Arabidopsis thaliana: one gene and its partner. The protein of the gene in region 1 interacts with the protein of each later gene in a pairwise test. Each region holds a gene or a part of one and is shown on either strand. Other genes may lie near its edges.

Region 1 (3,759 bases):
TATACAAATCAAATTTAAGGAAATAACTCAATAATAAGATATTTTAACTTTAAATTCCTAATTTTATTATATCCATATAAAATCAATTTCTTTTTATTGTTTTAAATTCTTAAAGAAAATATTTCTTTATCTTCCATTTACATAAAGTATTGTTGGTCAATTGGTAACTCGATAGCGACATAACGTTTTCAGTACATTTATCAGATTTTATATAACTTGTTTTTTCTTTTGAACCGACATTATGAGATCTTTAGTCAAGTTGGAGGATTTTCCATTGAAAATCATCTTATATCATAAGCTTTAAAAATTTTAATTGTGAAGGTTTAAATCATATGTTTGTAATACATGCATTTCCATTTCACCCCAAAAAAAAGGTAATATTGAATATATTAAGTTTTAATTTATAATAAAACATATCAATTTCACACAAAAAGAGCCAAAATATAGTGCATTGAAAACTTTTAATCAAGTAAAATGTCTTCATTAAACATATCATAATTTGTAAACATCAAAATTATTACTTCTAATAATTTCTATCGATATATTAACAATTATAAAAAAATATTATATATAATTTAATGTTAATATCATTCTATATTCAAAACTAAAACCAAATATACAATTCACGCATCGTTTGGATAACTTTCTAGTATATATATATATATATTAGAATGAAAAAGTCTTGTAGAGCATTAGACCACTAATAATTAAAAAAATTTATAATTATATTGCATTTTTTAATACAATTAGACCCACTAATAAAACTACAAGTATTAAAGGTTCACCCGACTCTCAAATTTGAACCTAATACTAAATTATACCTCTCTCTCTTTTCTTACTTTTTAATATTTAGTTTTTAATGGTCAAAACCCTTTTTTTGTGCAAAAGATAATTTCATTCAAACTTAACCCATATGTAGTACAAATTTTAAACAAACATCAACCTCATGGTTGGAAACATCAAAGAAAACCACAAGTTCTCTCACAAGAGAATGGTAAAGGAAAATGATATAAGATAATTTGACGGTAGATCCATACATCGAAGACAAGAACAATGTAGTAACTTGCTACAAGCGAGAGAATGGTGAGTCGAAGACAATTACACGAATATTTTGGGAGATTGTTGAATGGTCACGGTCCAAACGAGACATAGTGACGTTGATAAAGAGTCTTTAACCTTGGATAACAATGGCTCGAAACACGCAGCTTCTACAAAGGTGATTAAGGTATCCAAATGGTTTTGCAAACTTAAAGTCGGAGACAAACCAAAAGTTCGTTCTATAAAAGAGGATGATTCAAAAGTTCTCTCTATAAAAGAGGATGATTCTATCATAAAATTCTTAGACTTATATGAATAGTATGAGCTGCTCTTTAAGGCACTAAGATCTACCACCAAGGTTAATAAAAGCACCTTGTCTAGACTATCTATAGGTGTCAACGTGATGAGAGAAAGGAGTCCACGACCAATCTCAAAACCATAACCCTGCCATCAGATATCTAGTGTTTGACAAGGAAGAAAGAAAAACAGACCTGGACCAAATTGGTAAATAGGCCTACCCATTAGCATTAGCTTTAGGCCGTGGTAAATTTATTAGTGGGCCAAAGGCTGCCCAGCCCAATTCGAAATGGGGATCCAAACAAACAGCGGTTTTGCCCTCTTTAGAATGCCGCTTTTGTGAAATTGTGAGAACCCTTGTTAAAAAAACTCGCGATGAAGTTGCTCTCAAATACTTTAATGGCTCACGGTAAGGATGCTGTTGTTGTGAGTCACGTGTTTGCACTGTGTAGTTGCTATTTAAAACAAATTCTTTTTGTTCAAAATTATTTTTTTTGATAAATTGTCAATCTCTGAATATTAGAACTTGATTCCCAAGTAATCTTTTTCGAGTTGTTTTGTTGTTTAGTCATTGATTATACGAACTTGGTCCCCAAGTATATTTCTTGTTCATGCACTTCCTTATTATCCTATTGGATGACTGTTGACCACAACGTCCACTAAAGAGAAGAAACTATACAACGTCATTGCGAAAAACTACTATACTTTTATACTTTAACGTGTAGACATAATAATATACTTTTTTGAGTATCTTCGGTGGAAAATATAGAATACCTTTTACTGGTTGAGCTAAGAGTCGTGTAAATTCAATATTCTAGTCCCACAAATTTCCAAAAAGAAAAGTCTAAACATTGGTTTTCGTTGTCTGTCTATAAAAGATAAGAAGAATAACATCAGAGATTATACGCACACGGCTTTCAACATTAGGAAGGACAACAATGGAAGAGCCCTTTCTTCTGCAAGATGAGCACCTTGTCCCCTGTAAAGACACATGGAAAAGTGGTCAGGTTACCGTCGAGCTGAAGAAAGTGAGCAGCTTGGCCGCTCCTATGGCCGCCGTGACCATTGCTCAGTACTTATTGCCTGTCATTTCAGTCATGGTCGCTGGCCACAATGGTGAGCTCCAGCTCTCCGGCGTCGCTCTTGCAACCTCCTTCACAAACGTTTCCGGGTTCAGTATTTTGGTAATGATATGCTATAACTACTCTCTCCTCTTAAGTTCAAGATCAAGTTGCCTCTCAAATCTTGATAACACTATATTAATTCTTTGTGCAGTTTGGGTTAGCGGGTGCACTAGAAACTCTTTGTGGCCAAGCTTATGGAGCCAAACAATACGAAAAAATCGGAACCTACACATACTCTGCAACTGCCTCTAACATCCCTATATGTGTCCTCATATCAGTTCTCTGGATTTACATCGAAAAGCTCTTAATCTCTCTCGGTCAAGACCCTGACATCTCTAGAGTCGCTGGCTCCTATGCCTTGTGGCTCATACCGGCTTTGTTCGCCCATGCGTTTTTCATCCCACTGACTCGGTTTCTGCTAGCACAAGGGTTGGTTCTTCCACTGCTCTACTGTACCCTGACCACTCTTTTGTTCCACATCCCTGTTTGCTGGGCTTTTGTTTACGCGTTTGGTCTGGGAAGCAATGGAGCTGCCATGGCTATTAGTGTGTCTTTCTGGTTCTATGTTGTGATTCTCTCATGTTATGTGAGGTACTCCAGCTCCTGCGACAAGACTCGCGTATTTGTATCCAGTGATTTCGTGTCTTGTATCAAGCAGTTCTTCCACTTCGGAGTCCCATCAGCGGCAATGGTTTGGTAAGTCGTTTTTAAGTTTCTTGTTGGTCAAGTTACATACAACAACCAATGCTTTTTTTTATCTTGCTTGCGTTTTCTTGGTCTTCCTTTAATAGCCTAGAATGGTGGCTATTTGAGCTACTCATACTCTGTTCAGGTCTTCTCCCAAACCCGAAACTCGAGACCTCTGTTCTTTCAATTTGGTAAATATATATCATATAACGACTTCTTTTTATTTTTATTATCCTCTTTACTAAAAACTAATGAATCTTATTTCTTTAATGCAAGTCTTACAACAGCAAGTTTGCACTATGTGATTCCAGGTGGAGTCGCGGCGGCTGTGAGGTATGAACTCAAATTTTTAACCAAACATATTCAACATCTTCTTCCTAAACAATAATAGTCATTTGGTTTCTTGCAGCACACGCGTGTCAAACAAATTGGGAGCTGGGATTCCTCAAGTTGCTAGGGTTTCAGTATTGGCAGGGCTTTGTCTCTGGCTTGTAGAGTCAGCTTTCTTTAGCACACTTCTCTTCACATGCCGAAACATTATAGGCTACGCATTCAGCAACAGCAAAGAAGTTGTGGACTATGTGGCTAACCTAACTCCTTTGCTCTGCCTCTC
Region 2 (3,759 bases), on another chromosome or scaffold:
ATCAGTAGTGTTTTATCTTCCTTGGGGATCAAGTAAGTGATGGAAAAAAGGCAGTGAAATGAATATATACCTGCATATTGCCGATAAGTAGTGCGAATAAGACTAGTCCAGATATACAAATTGATACAGCAAATATGATTTCCCCAACGAATTTGCTTGTATTGAGATTTTGTCCCAATGCACTGCAGCGAGTGAGAAACAGCAAGTGATCAGATTAGTGTTTCATGCTCAACATATCTTAGCCAGCCATCAAGTGTGTCACATGAATCCTAAATTACTAATAACTAGATAGAGAGAGTGTTACAAACCTTAAATTACGCAAACCCCACCAGAAGCAGTAGAAGAACTTCTTCCAGAAATCATCTGATTCAACAATCCCACTCTTTAAAGCATCAGTAAAGATACCAAAGTTGAAGACAGTTGAATTTGTTATATCATCAGGGTTGATAAACGGGCACGAGGTAGTCAGGAAATCGTTTCTAACACTACTGTTTCCATCGCAGTAGAGAAATCTAAAGTTACACACTTCTGGTATCTTCTCACAAGCTTCACGCCAGCATCTGTCTTCTCGTTCTACTGATATTAAGTACCATAAGGCTCCAAACACATGACTGGCTAACATATAGAGAGATAGGTTCCAAGCAGCTCCAGCCCAAGCGGTTTCAGTAACTATGCCAGATGTTCTTGTAACTTCAGTGTAAAGTGGATAGATACGAAGAATCCTTGGAATGTATTGAGTAAATATGACAGTTATCAAATAGTCCTTAGTGATCAAAGAGACCGGCTTGTTGACATTGGGGATGACAGCTAAGACTACAAGCTGCAGCAGATACAACAGAATATTAAAGAACCATCAAGAAGGAACTATAAAACCATTAGGAACTAAAGGTTACCTGTGGGAGTGGAAGGATAGAAAGAAGATCGATGATGAAGTAGGAGGAGAGGTACTTGATGGCTATAGCTTTAGGATCATCAACCAACTCGCCTCTTCCGAAAACACGAGAAGAAGGAGAGATATAAGCAGTTCTAAACTGAAACACAATGTGAATGATGTAGAAAGCATCTATAAACGTGCGAAGCACACTAGCTGCTATCTCCAAGTTACGATGCAAATTAAGACAGTGTCTTTCTCCATCAACAATAGGAATATAGAAAAACAATGGATCAATAGCCAAAGCAATCACTGAAGCAAAAAGAAAGATTTTGTTCCAGTTCTGTAAAAAAGATCCTTGTGGGTTTATAATATTCTTCTGTGTAGTGGTACTAGAATTAGAATCTCTCTTCTTATTATGTGAACCAAAACTTAAAGGTTTCTTAAGTCCTCTACGAACATTCTTCAAAACTGTGTTTAGAGATGGTCTAGCTTTATTTCTTCCGTAACCATACTCTGTTCCCTCTGAAATCCAATCTCTGAACCTAAACAAAAAATCATCAACAAAAAAGAATATTTTTTCTGAGAATCATTCATATCCATAGTTTCTCAGTAAATTCATTCTAAAAAAAAAAAAAGACAGAGATTAAAGAAAGCAAGCAAACAACAACCTTACACGATTGTTGCGGCCAAAAGCCATGAGTCAAGCTTTTTTTGCTATAACGGATCCTGAATCATAAGAACATCGATTTGATCGCTTTAATTCGTTATCCCCAAGTTTACAGTAACAGAAAAAAAAAAAAAAGAAGAAGAAGAAGAAACGGAAACTAAGAAATTAAAACATTTATATCCGAAACTGACCAGAACGTTGAAGTAACTGAGAGAAGCGATATAAGAAAGATTATAGTAAGAATTTTCCGATGATCTGAAATTGGGAAAATTCTCGAAATTAATTCTCTGAAGTTTTTTTTTGAAGCAGTCAAATAAGCTATCATCGTAGAGTCAAGCTTGGCATGGCGCTGGAAAATGGAGACTCCATTGGCAGTTTCTTCGAAATTGTGTGCATTTTACAATAAAAGACAAAAGAGAGGGAATTATTAAAGAGTCAAAAACATTTGATGGGCCTAACCTTAATTAAAAGCCCAATTCGATATTGAATTTGATTTTAAAATTCAGAACTTGTTATATATCAGACCAACACAGTAAACATCATAGATTCCAGTAATGCATCAGCTATAAACAGATCCTAGCAGTGTGAAATAGTAAATATGCTACGATTTAAAGGTTTGGATCCAAAGAATTTTACCAACTTCATAGCAGATTGTTCACACTCTACACTCAATAAGCCAAATGTAAACAAAAAGATGACCAAAGATCTTCACAAATCTACCATGAATCACAAAATCTATGAAGACAATGTGATTTAAAGCAAAGATCTTACAGTTTTTATGGGCTCTTAGTTAAATTTTGAGATAGTAAATTTTCATATAGGCCCAACCGCCCAAGTGAGCAATCTTGCAGGACTTTTGTGTTGTTTATGGCTTTTGTCTTGTCTGACTCATGAAATCTTGTTTTTTTTTGTAGATAAAAGAACGATAAATGACGCTTTTAAAACTTTTTAAAGACGAGAGTTCTAATAAAATTAGGAAATAATAATATATGATGTTGACAAAAAATGTAGAAAAATATATGAAATTTTTATTGGCACGAAAAATTTGTAGCGAACCGCATCATATCATCACTTATATAAGCAATATTTTTTGAAAATAACTCATTTGAATATCATTAATTAAGCAGATGAGAAAAAATGATATGAGGTTATTGAAATTTTTAACCAAATTGTTTTTTATATAAAACATGTAACACTTTCTGTTTGTTTTTTCTTTTATATAATTTTGTTAACACCTTTCTATATTTTCTGCTTTCAATATTTTCTATTTTCTTTTATTTTGAAATAGTATTTTTTTTTGTAGGGATTTGAAAATAGTTTTTTTTTTGTAGGGATTTTAAAATAGTTTTTGAAACTACTAACTAATTATTAATAAAATTCAATGCTTTGAATAAAATCTAAATGGTATACAAATATTAAACTTTACAAGAATATGAGTTAACTATTTAATACCTTTAAGATTTCATATTTACTTTTGATGATATGTACATTTTAATACGTATATGGCAATATCATTGGTAGATACACTATTTCTAACTTAAATTTTAAAATGTGGTAAAAACATAAAATTGAAATACTAAGAAATGTTACTTTAACACTTTTATCCTCAAATTTGGATTTCTGGATGTTTCTATAGGTCGAACCAATAATTAAAGAATTGATAGTAACAAAATGGGTTTTAATATTGATTAGAAGAAAATTAAATTAGGTTAAAGAAAAAGGAAAGAGTAGACGAAAAGTTAAATAAATTTTAATAGGGTTTTAATATTGATTGATATAACTCTCTGACTCTTCTGTGACTCTTTTCAACTTCTGACTCTTTCTCTTTCGCTCTCTCATTCTTAACAAGAAAAAAAACTGGCATCATCTCATCATGAGGAACTCTTTTCCTCCTTCAGACGGTGGGAGATCGACGACTGATCGTCGTCAGCAGTCGTTTCCCTCATCCTCAACGAACCGTTATAACTCTCGCTCTGCACAATCTTCTCCGCCGCTCAACCACTGTACTACTTGGAACCAGCAACACTCTCAGTACCATAACACTAATTTCCCGCCAAATTACAGACGTGATCGTGCTCCGTCGTCGGGATTCTCTCCTCCAGTCACGCGGGCTAGGCCTAATTTCATCGTTCAGCTGCTTCACCCCGCCGCCGCTAACAGTGACACAAAGCTGTCTAAGAAGCAAGAGATCGAGAGTATCGCTTTGCTTTGCGAAATT

What was found.
Region 2: the proteins of AT2G04050 (region 1) and CNGC13 interact in a protein complementation assay, tested with the Arabidopsis thaliana proteins (one large-scale study listed by BioGRID).

Annotation. Positions count from the first base shown.
Region 1 is NC_003071.7:1,337,785-1,341,543, reverse strand, and holds the start of AT2G04050 (MATE efflux family protein), read left to right. Parts: upstream 1-2,075; 5' UTR 2,076-2,273; coding exon 2,274-2,519; intron 2,520-2,610; coding exon 2,611-3,155; intron 3,156-3,250; coding exon 3,251-3,337; intron 3,338-3,422; coding exon 3,423-3,479; intron 3,480-3,555; coding exon 3,556-3,759.
Region 2 is NC_003075.7:435,672-439,430, forward strand, and holds the start of CNGC13 (cyclic nucleotide-gated channel 13), read right to left. Parts: upstream 1,921-3,759; 5' UTR 1,733-1,920; exon of another isoform or gene 1,601-1,732; 5' UTR 1,572-1,600; coding exon 1,543-1,571; intron 1,417-1,542; coding exon 894-1,416; intron 821-893; coding exon 309-820; intron 183-308; coding exon 71-182; intron 1-70. Other genes in the region: AT4G01020 (helicase domain-containing protein / IBR domain-containing protein / zinc finger protein-like protein), read left to right, coding at 3,415-3,759. UniProt on the Arabidopsis thaliana protein: Putative cyclic nucleotide-gated ion channel.